Linked DNA regions of Struthio camelus. The protein of the gene in region 3 purifies or fractionates together with the protein of the main gene of each other region. This does not show direct contact. Links are inferred from orthologs where the notes say so. Each region holds a gene or a part of one and is shown on either strand. Other genes may lie near its edges.

Evidence for each region.
Region 1: the proteins of COPB2 (region 3) and COPG1 purify together in Homo sapiens (co-immunoprecipitation; 8 studies listed by BioGRID and IntAct, counting the BioPlex papers as one, with this or other methods). This does not show direct contact. The link is inferred for Struthio camelus from reciprocal best matches to the Homo sapiens genes COPB2 and COPG1.
Region 2: the proteins of COPB2 (region 3) and COPG2 fractionate together in Homo sapiens (co-fractionation; 4 studies listed by BioGRID and IntAct, with this or other methods). This does not show direct contact. The link is inferred for Struthio camelus from reciprocal best matches to the Homo sapiens genes COPB2 and COPG2.

Annotation. Positions count from the first base shown.
Region 1 is NC_090955.1:6,908,274-6,915,779, forward strand, and holds the start of COPG1 (coatomer subunit gamma-1), read left to right. Parts: upstream 1-4,495; 5' UTR 4,496-4,625; coding exon 4,626-4,662; intron 4,663-7,506. Other genes in the region: ARL6IP5 (PRA1 family protein 3), read right to left, coding at 2,722-2,897. UniProt on the Homo sapiens protein: The coatomer is a cytosolic protein complex that binds to dilysine motifs and reversibly associates with Golgi non-clathrin-coated vesicles, which further mediate biosynthetic protein transport from the ER, via the Golgi up to the trans Golgi network.
Region 2 is NC_090942.1:2,040,149-2,047,958, forward strand, and holds the start of COPG2 (coatomer subunit gamma-2), read right to left. Parts: upstream 3,012-7,810; 5' UTR 2,907-3,011; coding exon 2,870-2,906; intron 2,304-2,869; exon of another isoform or gene 2,226-2,303; coding exon of another isoform or gene 2,195-2,225; intron 1,151-2,194; coding exon 1,098-1,150; intron 352-1,097; coding exon 271-351; intron 1-270. Other genes in the region: TSGA13 (testis-specific gene 13 protein), read right to left, coding at 4,808-5,036, 5,381-5,496, 6,609-6,788. UniProt on the Homo sapiens protein: The coatomer is a cytosolic protein complex that binds to dilysine motifs and reversibly associates with Golgi non-clathrin-coated vesicles, which further mediate biosynthetic protein transport from the ER, via the Golgi up to the trans Golgi network.
Region 3 is NC_090950.1:9,825,701-9,833,304, reverse strand, and holds the start of COPB2 (coatomer subunit beta'), read left to right. Parts: upstream 1-4,591; 5' UTR 4,592-4,691; coding exon 4,692-4,694; intron 4,695-6,139; coding exon 6,140-6,277; intron 6,278-6,390; coding exon 6,391-6,477; intron 6,478-7,604. UniProt on the Homo sapiens protein: The coatomer is a cytosolic protein complex that binds to dilysine motifs and reversibly associates with Golgi non-clathrin-coated vesicles, which further mediate biosynthetic protein transport from the ER, via the Golgi up to the trans Golgi network.

The DNA.
Region 1 (7,506 bases), on a different chromosome or scaffold from region 3:
CTCACAGTGACAAGGCAAGAATGGAGCATCATCATCAGTGCCCTCACAACTGGGAGAAGGGGCAGTTTCCTTTAGTAACATTCCCCCCCCCCCTAAAGTGGTCTATTGCAACAGAGTTGCAAGAAGAATGAGCACCCCAGTCCTGACTCATTCTTAAAGGTTGTTTTTTCTTTTTTAAGGAAGGAAGTAGTTTTAGTTTCTTGTTCACAGACTTATTATTCCCTGCTTACATCTGTAGGTTGAAAGCAATACACATGATGGTAAAGCATCAAACATCATTTACACGTAACAGTAGCTATCAGAGAAAGCAACTGGAAGGGGAGAGACAAGGGAACCATGCAGCAGGTATTAAAATTCCACTACACTTAAGGTTATTCCATACCTCGTAGAGAGAGGGTGAAAGGTTGGAGATGTCAAATTTGTTGCACGAGAGGCAGTAAATTGAAACCATGGCAATAAGCACTGTACTTCCAACATCAAGAAAGCTACAGGCTACACTTTCTATGTTAGCCCAGCACCACCACAAGTGCCACGCTATTACAATGCTGAAAACATTATCTCTGCGTTACACATCTGTATTTCTAATTTGACGGTTTAAGAGCAGGTATAGTTGGTTATGAGCCAAGACAGTTCTGATCACAAGACGACCACTGCACTAGCAGTTTGCATAATCCTGTCCCTAGGCCTGCATAAAGTTCTGGAGTTCCTGAAAAGTCATGATTCCTCATTTATCACTCAGGAATTCCTGTGCGGTACAGAACAAAGTGCAAGATTACAACTGATAAATTTATATCGATGACTAAGAAGAACTTTCTTTGCCTTTCTCCCAAAACCATGATATGGCCAAGTGAAAACCGTTTAATAGAAGCAGTGGATAGTTTTTCCTCTATTGAAGAGTTACCCTGCTCCCTTTAGAGTTCTTCTCCCTTCCCCTTTTACTTCAGTGTTAGAAGAATCAGATTTGTCATATATCAAGGGCTCTAAGAAGTGCAATAAACAATGAATAAATCTGAGATTAAGATCCAGTTCCAACTGTTTTTTGGTCCAGAATTTTTAACTCAGTGCATTACCACTGAATATTAAGAGCTAGTTGTTCTGATAGTAATCTTTACCTCCTGTGGCTCCCTTCCACCTTCCTCCCCTCCCTCCCAGCAAGGTAGAAACATTGAGCTGGAAATAAGCAGGAGAGGCCTCACACTTGATCTGAACAGAAGAGATGAGAGTACAGAAGGGGAAAGGAATTTAGAAGACTGAATAAGAGTTATTACTATTTCAGTTTTCCAAGCCAGGGATATCAAAACTGTTCCCCACCACCACACCAAGCTCCCTTGGGGAGATGAGTTTTCCCCCTTGCTTTCCAGAACCACTTTGCTTTGCCTAGTCATTTAGGACTCGCTACAATATCTCACTGCTAAACAAGGGCAGATGACACAGAAGTTTAAACCAATAGCGGTGCAAGAATGGCAAGAGCATGGAAGCCTCTTTTTACCACTTTGATAATCTAGTGAGTTGACTGTACCACATCCCCACCAAAAATTAAGAAGAAAATGCAGTGTTTTGGGGCCCCTGCTTTCACAAAAAATAGCTCAAAAACCTCACTGCAACCCAAAGCATCTTAATTGAGAGTCTGGGTCAACAGCTTTAAAAGCTGTAACTAGATACAACTTGTTTAACAAAAACTGGATTTAGAAGATGTATTTTAAGCCTTTGCAACATACACTGCTGCCAAGGCCACTTCAGCCTCATGGCTGGGCAATCCTTCAGTGTAAGCATTTACCCCCATTACAGAGAGCATAGGAAATGTATTCCTACTTCCATATTAAAAGCTTAATCATCACAGGCTCTGCTGCATCTCTTGTGTAAGATCTTGGGTCAAAAAGCTCTTAGAGCAACGCTCGAAAGACAGTCACATAGGCCTTAATTCAAAAGATGGTTAGAAGGTGATTTCCCAAAACTCTTTAGGAAAACCGAGCCTGATGAGAACAAACTACCAGCACATCACCCTGCCCCAAATGAAATGAACGTGTACCCTGATGCATTTCATATTTGAAGCTCTTCAATATGAGTTAGCTCAGGAGTAAGAGAAGTTCATTCTGTTCCCTTTAAATCAATGTAAAACTATAACATACAACAGAATTATTATTATTTTTAATCCAAAGCAGAGTTTAGACAGATTTAAGCAGGAAGTGCTAGGTCACTGCAGAGGATGCAATTTAGTTTTTCAGAGAGCAGCTACATCCTGCACTTAAACCCATCACCGCTTTCTACCAGCCATACCATGCCCTGCAAAAACCCCTCCGTACCTGGGGCTCTCACGTTTGTGCCGAGCCGCCTGGGCAGCCTCAACGGAGGAGAGCGATCGCTCTCAGATTTGTCACCTGTCCCCCCCTCCCCAGATAAAATAAACGTCCTGAACCCTACTCTAAACGCTCACCCACCTTTAAAAAAAAAAAAAGTAAAATAATAATAATAAACAGACACATATACACAAAGAGAGCTGCAACCGGGGCGTTGCTTTTGAAACGTTATAGGTGACGAGAGGCGGCCCGGCGGTTGATGGGGAGGAGGAGAAGGCGACAGGCCGTTTCCCTGCCTCTGCGGGAGCCTCCTGGCTCCGAAATCAGGGCAGCCGCGGGGGGAGCCGCCCCCAGCCCCCCTCACGGGCCCCCCCGGCCCCCTCACGGGCCAGGCCCGGCCCGCGGGCGACGCGCAGTCACTGACCCCACGATGGAGACGACGGTGGCGGCCACCATCAGGTAGTTGGTCTGGTAGTAGAGGAGGTTGCTGACCACCCTGTTGTTCCATTTGGAGATGTCCTTGAAGTCGGGCCGGGCGAAGCGGTCGGAGCCGGGGAAGAAGTCGTCCCAGGCCCGCAGCGGCGCTACCTGCACCTCCATGGCTGCTGCCACCTCCTCCTCCTCCTCCGCCGCCGCCGCGGGCACGGCGGCGCCGCGCAGGCCCTAAGAGCGCAGCGGCGCCGCCCCGGGACGGCTCGCTGGTTGGCGGCGGCGGCGGGCGGCGGAGCGGCGCGGGCGGGCGCGCTCTCGCGGCGGCAGGGTCGATGCGCCTAATTTGCTAATCTGCAAGAGATTGAAGAGGCGGAATGGCCCGGGGGGTGGGGGGATCCGGGTGGTGTGCGCTGTGCGGGGAGGTGGGGCAGCCGCTGGCAGGCCCGAGGAAGGCAGCAGGCGCAATAATCACCCCAGCCGGAGAGGCAGTAGTAAAAAATAACGATACAGGGCTTTTTCGAGGCCCTCTGTATATATATAAACGTATATATACACTGTAAATCCTTCAGCGAGGATGCGTTGGAGGGGAAGCGTAGTGCCAGCAGCCCTGGTGATTCCAACTCCGGTAGCGTATGATAAAATTGGTCCCTTCTGACCTCCGTTTTCTGCGGCTTGCGCACACACCTTGCCCGGGCACACGTCCCGCCGGCAGCTCGGTGCGCCCAGTCACGGTGGCAGGACGATAAAGCCCGACGCGAAGCGGAGGCCGGCAGTAAAGCGAGCGTGAGCGCAGCGCCGGAGGTCTGCACTCAATCGCGCTTCCCAAAGTCGGATTTGGGGAGCCAGAGTCCAAAAAATCACAAACCCTTAGCAGCCCGCGGCGCTGTTGATAAACGAAACACGTTTGCAAACGTGACTCGCAGGTAGCAGCCACCTGGCTGTGGGATATTGTGACATGCCGGGGGCTAATTCCACCTCCGGACTTTGTCCCTCGGCCTCCGACAGGGATCGCGACGCTGCGATGGCGGCGTGCTCTGCCCCCCCCCCCGAGGGGCTCTGGGGGAGATGGCAGGGGGACCCCGGGAGGCAGAGGGGGGATCCCCGCTGTTGGAGGGGTTGTGGGGCGAGGGAGGGAGCCCGCTGCGGGGTCCCGGGGTCGCCGTCGCGGCTCTGGCTCTCAAGGCACCGAGCGCAGGCCTGAACGTGATGGCGGCTGCGGTGAGGGATGGTTGGGGGGGGGGGGGAGGAGGCGAAGGAGTCCTCCTGTTGCCATGGAGATTAGCCCTCCCAGCGGCGCGCCCTGTGCCCCGCTCCATCTCTATGGGCCTGCCGCGCGGCGGCGCTCTAGCAAAGCACCGCCCATAGAGGCGCGGCGGGGCGTTCTTCATCTTTCTCACTCTCCCCAGTCCCAGCGCCCCCATCCCCGTGCGCCCCCCCCAGCCCAGTATACCCCCCCCAGCCCAGTGTGCCCCCCTGAGTCCCAATGCCCCCAGTCCCGGTGCCCCTATCCCAGTGTGCCCCCCGCCAGTCGCAGCGTCCCAGTCCCATTCCACACTCCAGGCTCCTCCCCGCCAATCAGGCCTCGCCCCTCCCTCCCCATCCCCGCCCCTCCTGTCAATCACCGCCGTCTCCATGGGCACACCTCCTCTCGCCCCGCCCCCTGAACTGCACCCCCCCCTCGCCCCGCCCCGCCCGGGGCCAGCCGGGAGGCCACGTCCGGGCGGGGCGGGCCGCGCCTGCGCAGTGCGGCCGGCGGTGGTGGCAGTGACAGGCTGGCAGGAAGGGGCGGGCGGCAGGAAGGGGCGGGCGGCGGCGACAGCGACACCGGCGCGGCGGGACGGGCACGGCAGGGCACGGCGAGGGGCGCTCGCACCCACCCACCCACCCAGAAGCACCATGCTGAAGAAGTTCGACAAGAAGGACGAGGAGTCGGGTGAGGGGCGGCCGGGGAGAGCGAGCTGTGAGGGGAGACGGCGGGGGGGGGAGAGAGGGGGCAGCTATGGAGGGAGCCCCCCCCCCCCGCTGCGGCCGTCGGAGGGGGCGGCCGTGAGGGGAGCCCCCCCCCCCGCTGCGGCCGTCGGAGGGGGCGGCCGTGAGGGGAGCCCCCCCCCCCCGCTGCGGCCGTCGGAGGGGGCGGCCGTGAGGGGAGCCCCCCCCCCCCGCTGCGGCCGTCGGAGGGGGCGGCCGTGAGGGGAGCCCCCCCCCCCCCGCTGCGGCCGTCGGAGGGGGCGGCCGTGAGGGGAGAGCCCCCCCCCCCCCGCTGCGGCCGTCGGAGGGGGCGGCCGTGAGGGGAGAGCCCCCCCCCCCCCGCTGCGGCCGTCGGAGGGGGCGGCCGTGAGGGGAGAGCCCCCCCCCCCCCGCTGCGGCCGTCGGAGGGGGCGGCCGTGAGGGGAGAGCCCCCCCCCCCCCGCTGCGGCCGTCGGAGGGGGCGGCCGTGAGGGGAGAGCCCCCCCCCCCCCGCTGCGGCCGTCGGAGGGGGCGGCCGTGAGGGGAGAGCCCCCCCCCCCCCGCTGCGGCCGTCGGAGGGGGCGGCCGTGAGGGGAGAGCCCCCCCCCCCCCGCTGCGGCCGTCGGAGGGGGCGGCCGTGAGGGGAGAGCCCCCCCCCCCCCGCTGCGGCCGTCGGAGGGGGCGGCCGTGAGGGGAGAGCCCCCCCCCCCCCGCTGCGGCCGTCGGAGGGGGCGGCCGTGAGGGGAGAGCCCCCCCCCCCCCGCTGCGGCCGTCGGAGGGGGCGGCCGTGAGGGGAGAGCCCCCCCCCCCCCGCTGCGGCCGTCGGAGGGGGCGGCCGTGAGGGGAGAGCCCCCCCCCCCCCGCTGCGGCCGTCGGAGGGGGCGGCCGTGAGGGGAGAGCCCCCCCCCCCCCGCTGCGGCCGTCGGAGGGGGCGGCCGTGAGGGGAGAGCCCCCCCCCCCCCGCTGCGGCCGTCGGAGGGGGCGGCCGTGAGGGGAGAGCCCCCCCCCCCCCGCTGCGGCCGTCGGAGGGGGCGGCCGTGAGGGGAGAGCCCCCCCCCCCCCGCTGCGGCCGTCGGAGGGGGCGGCCGTGAGGGGAGAGCCCCCCCCCCCCCGCTGCGGCCGTCGGAGGGGGCGGCCGTGAGGGGAGAGCCCCCCCCCCCCGCTGCGGCCGTCGGAGGGGGCGGCCGTGAGGGGAGAGCCCCCCCCCCCCGCTGCGGCCGTCGGAGGGGGCGGCCGTGAGGGGAGAGCCCCCCCCCCCCGCTGCGGCCGTCGGAGGGGGCGGCCGTGAGGGGAGAGCCCCCCCCCCCCGCTGCGGCCGTCGGAGGGGGCGGCCGTGAGGGGAGAGCCCCCCCCCCCCCGCTGCGGCCGTCGGAGGGGGCGGCCGTGAGGGGAGAGCCCCCCCCCCCCGCTGCGGCCGTCGGAGGGGGCGGCCGTGAGGGGAGAGCCCCCCCCCCCCGCTGCGGCCGTCGGAGGGGGCGGCCGTGAGGGGAGCCCCCCCCCCCCCGCTGCGGCCGTCGGAGGGGGCGGCCGTGAGGGGAGCCCCCCCCCCCCGCTGCGGCCGTCGGAGGGGGCGGCTGTGATGGAGGGAGGCCTGGGGCGCCCCAGGGCAGGAGCCCCCTGCGGTTGGGGGGCAGGAGGCGGAGCGGGCGCCGGGGAGCTGCCGTAAGCCGTCTGGGAGGCAGGTAGGCTGGCGGCACAGAAGCTAGCAAGAGCGACGATGTCCGAGGCCGCGCGTTTTGGAGGAATCCCGCCGTTCCCACGCTGTTGGGATGCCATCTGGTTGGCTGCTCCCAGTTGACTTTTGGGACCCACACCTCCACCCAGAATCATCTGACTCTTGAACGGCCGGGTTGCTCCGCAAAACGTTTTGTGCCAATGTAAAGCAGGAGATGGTTTTAGGGCGTAGAATTTGCAGAGGGCAAAGGCAGGTGCCGGATTGTCACGGTGGAAAGAGACGCTGGTGCGTTGGTACTAGCTTTGTACCCGGGGGTTGAATGGTGCGGAGATGAGTGCAATAAGAAGCACTGTGGAAATATTAGAGCAATCTGCTTTAGTACTCCTGTGATTTACAGAAACAGAGACTAAACCATTTGCGAAGTACTCCGAAGTTACCTACCGCATCATCAGGCGCTGGAGTCAGGGACTGAATCTCAAGCATGTATCCCTCAATCCTGTTCACAGCTGCCCAGCTATCAAAGCAGACGCTAACACAGGGTAGAAACTGATTTGTACCTTCTGGTGCTGGGTTTTTGACACACACACACACACGCACACACACAGTCTGCTCTTCTAACAAGACAGCTGCATACCTCAGTGGGTTTGAAATGCTAAGAGCATCAAATAAATGCTGTTTTTAAAGACGGGTTGACTGACTTTTCAAAACATTACACCTGAGTAATGCCTGGTAAGGAAGCGGTTGATATTTCATTTGGTGTGTAATTCATGTGGAATCACTGTTAGATATGACAGTGTTGAATAGCCATCTGAGTGTTTACTGTGTCTCCTGAAGTGCTTTGATTCAATGTAAATCTTAATGATTGTTCTCTGTAGACTGTGCTTACTGTTTGCTTTAATGTGCATTAAATGCCTTGCCCTAATTTTCAGCTTTTTCAGCCTCCCTTTTCTAGGGATTGTAGACATGCTACGCCATGGGAAATATTGCACTTCTAGGAAGATTTTTTTCAAACCCGTTTCTGGAACCCAGTCACGCACACGTACTAGAATTTTACATTAGTTTTATCCTTTCCCCTTGTTTCCCTTTTTTACCTGTCCTATGTAAATGTCTGTGCTTTGTTCCGCCACCTACTGCATTTACAAACTTATCCTGAGC
Region 2 (7,810 bases), on a different chromosome or scaffold from region 3:
AGTACAAACAACTCTTAATTACACAGTGCCACAGTAAATAAACAAAGACCAACCTACAGCTCTCACTTGGCACCTGGAAAAGTCTCACCTTAGCAAGGCAGTCACAAGTGAGAACACAGTACTACAGAGCAAACACTCCATTTCTCATATCCTTAAAAGCTGCCTTTCAAGTCGGACAGGGGAAGGTATAAAACTTCTTCCACACTGAAAATTATCAGAAACCAGCCCTAGGAACAAGCATTTGAGTTAGGAAGAAATGATTACAGTTACCTGGTTCAGCAAGTAAAGGATCTTGGTAAGTATGTGCAGGCATCTTCGTGGATTTATAGGAGTCTCATTAAAGATACGGGCCTACAAACGCAACATAAATCCTGTATTATGGCGTAACCCAACAATAATAATTTTCCCCTTTAGAACAGAAATTAAAGCAATTTGTTTTCAACCAAGTGGCTTACAATTTTTTCAGCACTCTGAACAAAGGGCAATGACTCAGTTCACCAGGCTCTAGCTTAATCAAGACCAGTGCTGGACATTTGGCATTAACAACAATATTTTAAAAAAAGTATAATTTAAAATTTTGCAATTCAGTTCTTTTCATAACGTCTACTGCCCAAACACTACTCAGCACTAGTTTGTGGGAACACTGAATTGAAATGATTAAGCTCGTACTTAACAGCACACCAAAGAACTCCCTAAATATTTAATCACACATCCATCTCACCACTTGCAATTACTCTTGGAGTACATAAAAAGAAGCAGGACGATCCATTATGAACGTTATTGACCCTTTATTATATTTAGTAATATGCTGAAGGATCACAGGAGAACGGGCAGATCAGCTCTTCAGGGGTACTTTGAGGGATCCTGTGTATCCACATGGAAGGGAGAAGCCAATTCCAATCCAAGTCCCGTGCATAAAACCCTCTCGTAGAGAAAATCACATGCACTTAATTTACCTACCCTATGAATTTAAACTAACTATCCATCAAATTTAGACATCCACGTTTCCTGCAATTTGCGTTATAATTCCTTCTTAAGCTGCTAACACATCCCTGATCACAGACAGTTAAACAATATTACATGGTGACTATTCGTACCTCCTGAAGCACAGCACTCTTCTCCAGGTGCTGGAAAGGATTAGAGCCACTACCTGAATAACAAAAGAGACCTCTCAGTTAGGGAAGCACACTTATCACATATTCAAGTAACTAGAAACAACAGCCCAGAACGTGCAGGAACAATCCCTAAGCGTTAGGAAATCATCTTACAAAAACGCTACAGTGACGTTACACCTTGAATAACTGATGTTCTCCAACAACAGCTTTCAACCTACTTTCTGAAGTTGTAGGTTAAGAGTTCCAGGAAAAAAGGATGACAGATTCAACACAGCTGGAGGGTTAGGAGGAAGGAAGGTCTTTACTACTAAAGCTATCTTAAGAGCCCCTTTACACTAGACTATTCACTCTTTTTCTTCCTAGACCCCCTTTTTTCATTTCATGCACAGACAGCACTGAACACGTCAGGACGCAGCAGCTGCTAAGCATCTGCAATAACAGTATATTGATTAAGGTAGCACTGAAAAGGGCTACTTGGCAAACTTCAAAAACAGTACGACTACTACCCATCACAAAATCCTCAATACTAGTCTAGCCTCACAGAGTAACTCTTCACGCTTTGTAACAGTCCAGACCCAGACCTTGAGAAGTCACCTGTCAGGTAAAAACAAGATCTGCAAAAGGACTTCAAAAAGATTTCGGAGATGAAAACACGACGTGAAGCCCAAATCCCTCTCTTTCCCTGCTGCAGGGGAACATAAGTATCTTCCGCAGTGTAACCCCGATACCCTGTTTCGGAGAACCATCTATACCCAAAATACAGCTTGAGTCCCTCCGCTGGAAAGTGGAGGGAAGTCTTTAGTTTAGCAAGAAAGGTAAGAGAGATTGTCTTCTTTTCGGGATCTGTGAGTAGAAGCCTAACTAAAGAGCTCTGAATGAATTCGCTGGAAATGACACTTCTCAGAGCCAAGCTTTCTAATCCAGGTTCAGAGTGAAAACACCTCTTGCAATCACTTTTATGGTCAAAAAAAGGCCTCTTGCAGCCCCCGGTGCTGCCTCTGGACCCTTTTCCTACAGGAAGTCCAGTTCTTACCCCCCGCCCCGAGCAGAACGAAATCCAGAATGAAATTAAACTCAACCCAACGGGGCCTTTTTTTTCCCACGCGGCATAAGAGATCTCTGAGCAGCAGCAACAGGCCACGGATACGGCCTCAGCGATGCCAGACAGCACCAGACGCCACACGCAAGCCGAACTTCATTCCCAGATGATTTTGCAGAGCGAAAACACGAAGCTGATGGCTTCACCCCCCCCCCCCCCGCCACGGTTCCCTCCACACACGGCATCAACGGCTCCGGCAGGGGAGGAAGGCTTCGGGCTCGGCCGGGGGAGGCGCCAGGCCGCCCCCCGTGGCCGTTACTCCCCCCCACCTTTCCCTCAGCGACCGTTATTCTTCCCCTCAAACGGCCGTTACCCCCCTAGAGGCCGTTATTCCCCCCCCTCAGCGGCCGTTATTCCTCCCCCTAAACGGCCGTTACCCCCCTCCAGCGGCCATTATGTCTCCTCAGCGGCCGTTATTCCTCCTCCCAAACGGCCGTTACCCCCTCAGCGGCCATTATCTCTCCTCAGCGGCCGTTATTCCTCCCCCCAAGCGGCCGTTACCCCCCCCCCAGCGGCCATTATCTCTCCTCAGCGGCCGTTACCCGCCTCCTCCCTCCCCTCCCCAGCGGCCGTTACAGGCCGCGGCGGGCGTTGGGCTCCTACTGGTCGCTCCCCTCACGGCTGGGCAGCCCCGACCCCGCCGCCAGCCCCGTACCGGCCTCCTCGTCCTTCTTGTCAAACTTCTTAATCATGTCGCCGCCGGTCGCGCGCCCCTCCCCCCTCCCCTCCCCGAACCGCACAGCCGCGGCAGCACCCGCCGGAAGTCCCGCCCCCGGCCGGGGGAGAGAGTGGGGACCCCCCCCTCAAAAAAAAAAAAAAAAAAAAAAAAAAAAAAAAACCTCACCCTGTGCCATCCGACTGGGCCGCGTAGCTGCCACTCAACTCCCGGCACCGCCCACTCCTCCTTGGGGAGCCCGGCGCGCCGAGCGGGGCGACTTCCGCCTCGCCTGGGGCCACGCCCCCTGCCGAGCGGCGGGGCGGGGCCGGACGGGGCGGGGCCAGATCCGGGGCGGGGCCAGAGCCGACGCCGGGAGGGGGGGAGGGGCGGTTTAAAGGGCCCGCGCCGCCATTTCGCGAAGCGTTTTGGGGAGGCGTTTTGGGCGCTGCCTCCCCTCAGCGACCCCCTCCCCCTCCTCGACTGCCAGAAATCCAATTTATTGACGCCACGCTCGGCGGGACGGCTCAAGGGGCACCCAGCGCGGGACGTGGCCGGGCCTGAAGCCATCGTCATCGTCGCTGGGCCCGGTTGCGCCGCGATGGCTCCCGAAGAGCGAGGGGAGGCGCGGGGGATCCTGCCGCGGGGCCACCGCCGTCCCGTGGGGTTCGCCTCGCCGCTCCCCCGGCGCCGGGCCTGCAACGAAGCATTGGAGGGGTCCCTCAGCCCCGTGCCAAGGGCGGGCGTCGCGCCCGGCCTGGGGGCCCCTCCGCTGCACCTCTTTTTTTGGGAGGGGGTGAGGGTAGAGCGTAATGTCATCTGCGCTAATCCTCTTTTTCCTTCTTGTGCCAGCTCCGGTAAACGGCGTTTTCAAGGCGTCTGAGCGCCTTTCTCACGGGGCTCGTGAGGAACCGGCACCTCCTGCTGCAGAAACCAGGTGAAAACAGAGATCTTGACTTAAACAAAATAAAAGACCCCGCTCGACTCTCGCTCGGATTTCATGCCGACTGGATTTCACCTCGACTGGATGGTGCGGTGGTTCTTCCCCTGCCGAGACGAAAGGGCGATCCCTAACGCCTGCTCGGTGAGAAGCTTCTCTTTCGTCCGAGCGGGAGGCAAGGAGGTGCCTCCCTTTAGGAGGAGCTCGCCAGTGAGCTTTTCTTCAGGCTTTCGTCCCGCCGAAGACAGCCCTGCTGACTTGCTGCGCTCGCGTATACGGAGCCGCCGGATCCCTTCGCTCCGCGCTCCTACACACCCTCATTTTCAGCAGCGCGCTCCCTGCTCTTGGTTACCTTCGAAGCCCTCGCCCTTGGCCAGCAGTCCAGCTGCTGCTCATAGCATTAAGAGGAGAAGCCCAGCTCTTCTCAGAAGAACTGAGGCAACGGGTCCGCCCTTGAGACTGGAGATCAAGCAGTACCGAGCAGGGGGCTTGGCATTTACAGAGGGGAGGAACGGAAAGGGAAGGGCTCTGCTGAAAATGAGGATGGGGGGTCTCCCACAAGTGCTATAGGAAGGGTCTGGATGCTAAATTAGTTCGAGGTGAATTAGGGGAGCGGGTGGAGAGGTGGCAGCGACTCTGAAGAAAACAGAGGATGGAAGAAAAGGAGAACGAAAAGGCAGCGAGCAGAGCCTGTCCTGATGAGGCATTCGAAGCACGCCGTGCCTTACCTGACCTTTACTGTTCTCATGCCTCATCAGCTAGAAACCGCTGGCCCGCCTGTCCATAAAACTTTTAACTTAATCAAGTTAAAAATAGACTCGTCAAGCTGAGGTAGTTTTCGCATGCACAAAGCTTTAGCTATTACACAGAGGTCTTCGATGCCGACCAGTGACATAAGGGACGATCCGTATGGCTCCCTGTGCTGGATGTGTGCAAGCTGAAATGCTGCGTTGGTCTAGGATGGCCACAGCTTTCCTTTGGGTGCCTGAGAGGTGTCTTCACTCACCACCTTTACCAACTCGACTGATCACAGCTTTGCGGTAGGTGAAGGCGGGGTGCTGGCTGGGCTCAACCCATCCCTCCCTCCCCTTCTCAGGGAACGGTGACTTTGCACCTGGCTTAGGGGGGGCTTGGTAGCGAAGCTGTGGATATTGCCTTTTCATTTGCTTCTCAGCATAGCTTTTCGAGAACCGTCCTTCTGCTTCAAAATCGCTGTCTTTGGAGAACCTAAGGTGCGAAACGAAAACCAGACTCGGTAAAGCAGCCCGAAATCCCCGGGATAGCTCTGTGGTATTTGGCTATGCCTCTGAATGCTTGTTAGCGGTAATTTGTGCTAATGACGAAATGAGCAGCCCCTTCTGTGGGTCAGGCAGAAGAAAGCAAGTGGGCATTGCAGGGCCTTGGGCCCTCTTCCTTGACAGGTCGGGTCTACGGCAGACTCTGAGACACCTCTGGCAACCCCAAGTACCAGAAAGGCTCCATAACAGCCCACCTAGGCATCCTTCTAAATCGGGGACCTGGGAGCACAGAGAGCACAGAGGGACTGAGGAAAACATATGTGCAAGATATACCTGAACGGAAGACGTTTCCCAGCCGTTTCTGCAGGAAAAGTCGCCTTTGGCGCTGTTGGCCCTTTCTGTTGTGTCTTCTGCAAGGGAAAGTGAATCTGACTCCTGGGAGAGGTCCTCTGCAAGAGAACAGAAAATTAGACCAAAGTAGATATGAGTTATTACTGCGTGGGGTTTAAAACGTCCACCTTAACCCAAGTGAGAAGTTCCTGGCACTTGTTCAGGGTAACATAAAGAGGTTTTGTACCAGGAATGAGGGAATTTGGATGAGCAGGGTGAGAAGTAAAAGCAACCTCAGTAACTGCTGAAGGAAGGGAAGCAATGGAGGCCAAACGTGCGAAGCTGTACAGAAGTCACGTATACAATCTAATGCAAACAAGTATGTTCTCCAAAACCACCATGTGAAGCCAGCTGAGGCATATAAGTAAATAATACTCTTTGAGTTGCGCTTAGTTGTGTTCTGGTTTGCTTTTTGAGAATTGTAGTTTCTCTTTGCTGGCACAGAGACTGAAGCTCAGCTTTGAAGAAAAACTAAAGTCGGTGTAATTCCTCAGCAGTGAGCACGGGACTCATCTCACCAAACTTCCTCTAGCTAAAAGTTAGGCATCTAAATCCTGCAGGAGATGGAGGCATTAGGCTCTGCTTTGACTGTAACTCCTTAAGCAGCAGGACCAGTTTTGTTGGTTCTTTTTAACCTGGATGTGTTTTTATCTGCATATGGCCAGGGACGGGCAGCTGAGCTGCCCAGCCATGGTGATGGCACAGGAGTGAGGGCAAAGAACAAAGATGGGGCAGCGTCACTGAAGTCTGTCAGACTTCAACCCTGCAGAGAGCCAGGACCAAACCCGCAGTCCTTGGGTATGGTTTTTTGTTATGTTTAGTACAGTGTAACTGAGGAGCGCCCCCGAAAGGCAGGTCCTCTTTCCAGCCGTGGCCGCACGCACTAGGTGACTCCCTTGGGTAGCGGAGCTAAGGGATTGGCTCATTGATCAGCGGGACGTGGACCCAGTGGGTAAGGTTTGATTTCCATCCGATCATTGACACGATCTGCATCGCCCCAAAGCCACGCAATCATTGAGCCAATGTTCAGTGTCTCCCTCCCAGCTCGCTCAACGTTACTGCCTTCCTCAGAGCGGTGCCTCTGGGATCTCTCCAGTCCTAAACAGACCTTCTTAATAGCCTAGACATGAAGCTCATTACTTGCGTGTTGTTGAACTGTGACATATTTTACCGTTCCGAATTGCTCCTTGGTGAAAAACGCTGTGGGGTTAGACTTCAAGTCAGGAAGAGGATTGTTTGTTGTGATCAGTGCTGTCTTGTCTTCATTGAACATTGAAGATCGGACCATGAGCGCCATGCATCTTCTGCAGCTATTGAGGTGGTTCTGAAATGCATCATTGGTGAACGGCATAAAGTCTCTCTGCGGTATGGGACAAAAGGGAGAGCTGCGTTAGAAGGGCCAGCTCCATATATCCGTCTTACAGTTGCAGAAGTAGGAGAAGTGCCATCCTGTACCAACCCTGGGTTGCCTGGGCCTGGTCTTTGCTGAGGGGACCGCCTGGAGAGACCCCTGTTGCTACCAGAAGTGCAAAGAACATAAGAAAAAGAACTTGAAATTTGCAGTGTTTTCTCACTCCAGTGGTTTCCAACTGGAGGCTGAAGCTGGACTGTTGAATCTAACAGGCTCTGATATCTCTCTCGTGCAGTTGTCTAGCTCATGTTTGAACCCACCTAGGTTTATCTATGGCAGCTGTTCTTCAGAGGAAACCATGTAAGGGCTTAGCTCACGTATGTGCTCCAGCTTGCCTGCTGCGGAGTAGATTTATCTTGGAGAAGCATCCCTTCACCCTTCATTATGTTGGTGCAATGACCTCCCCTGGGTGGCAGAGCAGGGAGGTTGATCCTGGCACCTCCGGACATCAATATAGGCTGCTACCACCTGAGCTGCGGAAAACAATGCCCCTTCTTGAGGGCAGTGACGGCTTGGGACGCAGCAAACAGAAGGGAGCGCTTTCCGACACCTTCCTCCAGGACCACTGGGCAAGCCCGTTTGCTTCTGACGGGAACATTTCCAAGGGAGACAGCGGTAACGGCTTCCTCGTGCTGGGTTTTAACGCAGTGGGGCAGACAGCGTGTTTGCCACCGAAGGAAATGACGATCCCTTCGCTTACCAGGCTAGTAACGTCAGAATACGCTTTTTCCTGCTGAGAGCAACGCTCTTCCATGTCTGCTGCCTCCAGCTATGAAAGGAAAGCAATGCGGTCCATTAACAGGGAAACCAAAGCCCGTGTCCTGCTAAAGGCGGCAGCACCGATCTCCGCAGCCACTTCAGCTGATAGGGTGGACTGAGCTGATAAAACCTCAAAGCATGATTCTATTTATAAGCAGTCTATAAATAGTTAAGTTATTAACAATTACTTAAAAAAAAAATAA
Region 3 (7,604 bases):
AGCATTAATGATTATCCTATTGCTGATTTTAAGGAAATTGGCAGTTTGTGCTCCCTTAACACCTTTTAAAAATGACTAAACCTATCTCTGAGACTTGAAAATACAAGCTGACAGAGGTCCCTTATTCAAATGCAGACGTTCAGTACAAACAAATCTAAACCCACATGGCTGAAGTTTGGCAGAATTACACATCGAAAAGGCAGGCCTGCAATGAAAGTGTCAGGTGATATTATTTTCGGTAGCTTCACATATAAAACTTCCAATCCTTTCTTTACCTACTGCAGTATCTCTTTTCTTTGTATGCAGCTTGTATATTATTGTACTTGAAGCAACAGCTAACATCTGAAACCATCAGTTTATGCACAACTGGGCCACTACTGTTACCACACTGGTAGGTAGCTGGGTTTTAGAGAAAGGGATATTAGCTTTTTCTGATATGAGCCCTACAGTTATTTCAGTTCTGCTGGAAGTTCTGATTTCTTTACTGGTATTTTAATTCCTCGTTATCTTAGTGAGTTTAATAATTTGATCTCTCTATACGAGTCATGAATGTATCCAAGATTAGTATGCTCCCATGAGCATGCGAAGAGACACAGGCTGGATACCTTAGACTGAAAGAGACAAACAATATTCTGTAAGAACGCTGCATCCCTGATCTGCAACAAAGTGAAATCATACAGCTTCAAGGAAGCTTTTAATTCAGATTTACAGTGGGCTTTGTCTCCCAGCTTTGCCACCTAAATGTTAATAATGCCCTTTCTTTAAACACACTGTGTTCCATTAGTCCTATCACCCTCCTAGTTAACGCTGCAATGAGTTTTACTTCAGTTCACTGCACTGCAACTACTAACCCTTGCAAATAAACAAGATTTCACACTAAGTCTGCATATGAAATAAACACTTTGCATTATACTGTAGCGTTGACCCAATTACATAAAAGCCTCTGTGTATTCTAAAAGAAAGGATCTAGTGAGAATAATGTAGTGATTCATGTTAGAAAATAACTCAGAATATTTGGGAAATTAGTAAGCAATCCTTAATGCCACCTCCAGCTAATAAAATCAGTCAAACTCAGAGATGCTGGCAAACTGTGATCCAAAGCAAACAACAGTGATCCTAAGAGGCATTACATAACTCTGTAGAGAATATAAGCTATCACTGAAATCTGGAGAAACGAATGAGAATTTACATAATAATGGTGGTCTCCTGGGTAGAACAATCAAGGCAGGGAAACATTAGACTCTCAAGACTGAGTTACCTACTGGAACAAGCAGTAGCACACACTATATTTATTAAATCAAGTTTGCGTCTGGCTAGGAACACCTGTTAGATTTTTGCTTGAATATCAATTTCCATGCACTGGAGCTAGATTTGACTTTATCTGCAGACCTCTACTCTTTAGCTGAGAGAGAAACTAAATGCACCGGTGTTCATGTTTAGCCTTCTCCTTCTCTGTTAAAATTCATTTGGTACGCTGAGGAGAAACTATAGGTGCTTGTGATTGGTACCCCAAACTACTTTAATTGTTTTCTTGGGAAGATCAATGATGTACAATTTTGTATCTCAAAATGCTCTATCCTGCTTCTAGAAGACTTCTTTTGCCTTACAAATTCAAAAGTTGCCAATAATCTCATAGCCAAAAGGATCTAAGATGAGTTCTCTCAAAACATACGGAATAATGGATTGGCCATCCCGAGAAACAGGAGTCTTGTACAGAGGGAAACTACCTGCAGGCTGAAACACCACTGTAGTGACTTCCTCCTTACTAATTTTACACTTCTTGCTGTAATTCCATTATAGCTGCGGTATTTCTAACTAAATCACCTATAATGAAGGTGTGCAAAATTCCACTATCACAGGACTGCAATACGTTTGTTAGTTTTAAAGAATTTAATGTGTCAGAATGTAATTGCTTCAACTGCCAGCACTTAGCTAGCCAGCTATATAGAACACACTTTTTAAAACAAGAAAATTCCTTTCTAATGCTTTGTGTTTAGTCTTGCAAGAGATTTACTAGTAGCTTTGCTCATACAGAATGTGTATCCTGCAACTCCATATTACCAACTCCTTTATTATAGACACACATCCACACCTTACAGACACGCAATTTGTGTTTCTACAAACAACAAACTTGTAGAATGGTACTAGCCATTGCATTGTAAACATTCTCGGACAGCTTTACCCTGTTTTCTTAAGGAAGCAAGGCCCGTGACTGCACTCTTGCTGATGTGTAAGAGTCATTCTCTCCTCCTCCCTCTCCCTGTCTATGGTGTTAAAGGTTTTGAGTAGCCACAAAAATAACAAAGAGAGAGAAAGATAAACCCAAATTAGTGCACTTCTCCCAGAATAAAGATAATGATAGACTTTTAACAGGACCATGAGGGAATAGCCAACTGTTCAGAGTACGCGTTGCTCCAAAATAAGCTGCTGCAAGTGTTACTTACTTAGCCAAAGAAGCTGGGGTATGAAAGGGGCAATGGGAAACCTAAGAGCAGCACAAAATCCACAAGAAGCAAAGTTTCCTCTGTTCTACTACTTTTGGAAGGAAACATTTTGTGTGCTTTCTTACCTGAAAAACTTCTCTCAACAGATAGGCATAAGAATGGCTGCTGGGTCACATAAAGGAACTCAGAGTAGAGATTTTCTTCTTATCATTCAATAGAAATGTTTTTCTATTGAATGTCTTTTTAGAGATGGCCCAAGGGCTTGTTGCAGTCACTTTGCCTATCACCCAGGTGAAATAATGGCTAATAAGGAGGATACAGAGGGAAAAAACATGAAAGAAAAGCGTATACAAAATAATACTCCTCTGTATAGCCATTTAATTTACAGCAATTTGTGGATCATGATCTTGAGTCAGAACTGGTATCCTTGTGTTGAATAGCTGGGACAGACATTCCATATCCTTATAGTATAGAAATTTTTTTTTCATTGCTTCTCTCCTACTGTAAGGTCATCCTTGTCCCTGTGCCTCCCTTCTGAATTTAGTTCTGTTGCTATAACTTTCCAGGAGGAGTTGATGCAAACAGCAAACAAATTTCTTCCTTTCCCAGCTGTTATTGTCTTGACTAACTAGCTCTGTCTCTTCACCTGTCACTTACCTTCCTTGCTATCTTCGATTCTTCTATAATACCCTCATCTGTCTCTGGCCAGGACCTTGTTGAGCTCTTCGAGGGAAAATATACAATGTGTGTTTTTCTACCCCCACTACCTATGTTCTCTAGTACTGACGTCTTTCCCCTATATTTCTTCTTTCAGTGTTCCAGCCTGTTCCAAACACCTCAGCTGTCTAAAAACCATGAATTAGACTCGAAAATCATAAATTTTACTCACATCATTACTTTTAAGCAAGCTTGTTTAGATTCTACATCCTGAAATTCTGTACTCAGATGTGTTGAAGCATTTTTCCACAATCACTACTATAAACAGGCTTTAAATGAAAGCTGAAATTCTATGTTCTCATGTATACATGAGCTTAAACTCACCCATAACTGCTGAAAACATTGCAACCCTTCTTTTGCTTCTGGCATCTCTCTTCTCGTTCACTCATCAGGCCTGTGTCTTTCTAATTTTAGGTATCTGTCTTTCTGTCTTTGCTCTCTTGGAGTGAAAATAGCAAGAGGTAAAGTAACCTCTCACCCTTTTGTTTCTATGTCCATCAAACCGTGCGCGCTCCAGGGCAATGCAATCCTTCTTCCTGCGTTGTAGGATAGAGCACAGTGGGCTCTCAATTCTCAACTGAGTGCTTAAATTGTATCATCGTAAGCATTTTCTTTAACGGAAACCTAACGAATATAACTATCCTTCTTGTAATTTCTCTCCTTTGTAGAATTAAATGGGGCTTGTAATCTTCAACTGAAGATGGAACTTTTATCTGGCAAACAGTGCTGGAGCAGAATTTTTCAGCGATGGTTCCCCGTGTTTTGGTGCTGCCTGAAATTTCACATTCACCATAATGTTTCTAAGACACTCTGTTTTGGGTAACAGCATGGGTAACTTTAGGTGACAAAAAGATTTATAAAAGGAAAAACCTGCCAGGCAGTGTTTCACATCTACAGGGTCTGCAGGACTGACCAAGATCAAGTCTTTTCACGGCCCGAGAGAGGTCAGCTGGGCTCCTTCCAGCAGCCTGCTCCAGGGCCCCGCTGCGCTCACCACACGGGCCCCAGCCCCTCTGGCCAATGCCACCCTGAAGTGCTTGGAGAGACCACGCTGAGCAGGCAAAGGTGACCAAAGGACCTTTCTCTTCCCCGGGTCGCTCACACTTGGGCAAAGCACACCGGCTTTCCACCGCCGTCTCTAACCGTGAGGGGACCTCACGCGAAGGATTGTCCCTGAGGACGGTAAGGGCCCCACCGCAGCGCCCGCCACGCACAGCGCAAACGCCGCCGCAGCCGTTAGGACCGTTACGGCCGCTCTGAGGCGACAGCACGCGCGCGCTCCCGCTCCCGCTCCCGCGCCCACTACAGCTCCCAGCGTGCCCCGCGACAGCAGCCGGGAGGGGGGAGAGGCAACTACATGTCCCGGCATGCCGTGGGAGGGCTGCTGCCGTATCGCGAGGGGCGAACTCTCGCGCCGGTCCTCTCGCGAGAGCAGCGGGGCGGAAGCTCCACGTCGGTCGGTCGGTCGGTCGGCGGTGGCTGGCTGGGGCTGAGCGACACCTGGGCGCTGCCGCGGGGCCACTCGGGGCGATGGTGAGCGGGGCCGGGGGCCCGCGGTCACCGCCGGGGCCGGGCCGGGCCGGGCCGGGCCGGGCCCCGCTGTGTGAGGGCGAGCGCGGCGCGGCGCGGCGCGGGGGGCGCGGCGGGGGGCGCCGGTGCAGGCCGGGCCGGGCCGGGCCGCGGAGGTGGTGTCGGGCGCTCCCAGAAGCGGCGCAGGCGGGGGTCAGTGTGGGGAGGAGCGCCCTGCCGGGGGCCGCGCAACGCCACCGCCGAGGGGCGGTTTGGGGCCCGCCGGGGGCCCCCTCGGGCACGAGGCAGGGGCGAGTCGGTGCCCGGTCGTCTCTTGCGGCGGTGGCGTCGGCGGGCAGACCCCCCGGCTGCCGAAGTAGCTGCCGTGGAGGTTACCGTTAGCCGCTTATGTTAGAGAAGTTTCAGGGAGCGAAGGCAGAATCGCATGCGCTTTGTCTGGCCTGCTTTTGTAGTGTTTATCGCAGAAACGGTAAACCACAAGTTCGTTCCCTGCCGTCAGGTGTCATGACTGCAGGTTACATGATAGCGAGGTGTTTTTTCCTCCTTATGCTGCCTAACACACGCACCTGCAGGTTTTGCTGGTTTTGTTCTGCTACTCAGGACGAGGCACGTAACGTGTTCAGCGATCAGAGAGGACCCGTCCGGTTCTGAGATGAGATGCTGTTCAACAGCGTCTTGCGTCACCCTTGAAAATCCTTAGGCTATTTTTGAGCTGACGAGCCTTAAGTAAACTCAACAGTTTTTGAGTGTCTGGACAAAGTTATAGTGCCTCAGAAGTTTTAGAAAATCGCTTTGCTGTACTTCGTGCCTTTTGAATTTTAGGTACTTTAGCATTAGACTGCCAGTGATGAAAGTGGAAAGTCACAGCCTGCCTTTTTAATAGGAAGACTTAAACTTTTCCTTTCTACCGGTTTTTACTACATAGTATTACATCTGAAAACTTGTTAGAGTAGAAGAACTTGGTGAATGCAAATTGGTAATGGGCAAGTGTTGTTACATTATTGGTTCTTTCAGTTGTGATAACTAGCTTCTCCACCTGTATTTTCAAGTGAAAGAGAAGGAAGACTTGTATTTTAATGTTTGTATTAGAAGCAAATTCTCTTAACTCTGATTTAGTAGTTCAGGGACATCAGGGAGCTTTGTAAGGAGCTGTGCGGTGCATCTTTTCTTTGCCTGTGCTGTAGATACTACTTACAGTAAGAAAACACTTAAACGTTCACAAAAGTAAATTAAAGGGACCCATTGATATTGGTAGGGATGTGTTTTCAGAAACTTCTACAAAAACAGGCAGACAGGCAGATAAGAGAGAAGTAGCCTCCTTTCTGAAAAGCAGGATTGGCTCCAGTTGTTTTAAGGTTTAACTTCAGCTTTCCTTTCCTTCCATGATGTTTTTATGTTGAATTTATGTTGGAATAACTCTGGTATTGTGAACTTTTTTTCGTTTCTAGCCTCTCCGACTTGATATAAAGCGGAAACTAACTGCTCGGTCTGACCGGGTGAAGAGCGTAGACTTGCATCCCACAGAGCCATGGATGTTGGCTAGCCTTTACAATGGCAGTGTCTGCGTTTGGAATCATGAAACACAGGTGATGTTTTTGTTTTTCCTCTATTGTGTATGAAATACATGTTCTGATGCTAGATACACAAGAAGGATCTTAAATTACTACAAATAATTAATATAATTCTTTTTTTTTCTTAGACGCTGGTGAAGACCTTTGAAGTGTGTGACCTGCCAGTGAGAGCTGCCAAATTTGTGGCAAGAAAGAACTGGGTTGTTACAGGAGCTGTAAGCTATCTTCTTCTTGTGATTTCTGTATATAGTACCATTTTCTGTGATTTGTTTTCATGGCATTCCTTTGTATGTCACTAAGTAGTAGGATTTCATATGAATTTGTAGAAGAGAGAAATAATTCATTATGGTTACCCAGAGATTTTCTCCTTTAAGTTAGCTTTAAAACTTTTAAAAAAAAAAAAAAAAAAAAAAAGAGAGAGAGCATAATGATGTGGCTAATTCTAGATCTGGTGCACAGTAAATCTGGATTCAACTTTAGCTGTCAGCTTGAACGCATTCAGCACCCAAATTTGGCTAAATGTTAGTAGTGCTGCTGTGACTAAGCTGAAACGCTAGACCATCCAAGGTAAAATGAGTTAAAAGTTGCTTTCTGCTTTTGTTCCCGTTTATATTTAAAATAAAAAGTTTAAGAGACGTTTTGTTGGTCTCTAGAAAAATACTTTGCTTTTATTCAGTTAGGTTAGTACTTTAAGCTGAATAGTTGTATTCTAAGCTTGATAACATGTATTTTGTGATGGAATGAACATCGACCAGTTATTCTATATTATTATTACGGCAAACTGAAACAGTAATTATGTCTCAGTTAAAACATTAACAGTATCTTAATGCAGTAACTTCTTACAATTGCATGTATGGAGGCCTCTCCAATATGTTCTTGAATCAGCCTTTAGATTGGTGGTTAAAAAGTTGTACGTGGAAAGCATAAGTAAGTAGACACAGTTGGCTGAAAAGTCAAAGTTTTCTCCACTTATTTTTTTAATCTAAATTGAAGTAATACTTAAAATTTTTATCTTTAAATGTTTTCATTCTAGTCTTCTGCCATAAGAGAGAGAGTAAACAATTTCTTGTTGTTATGTCACGTTTTGTTGCCATGTCACAGTTACTTCAAGTAGGCATAAGTCAGCACTGTTGCCTAAGAGGTTCCATGCTGTTGCTTCTCTACCAGCACAAGAGTTCAAACAGCTGTGTGGGAACTGGCTTGGGAACTGATCCAAGTTAACTGCATTTTTATTTTTGCCAGATTAATTTCACCTAGGTTGGTTCTTCAAAGAACTGATTCACGGTACAGTTGTGCCAGTCTTTGATTTGCCAAGGGAGGCTGTGATGCAGTGGCAAGATGT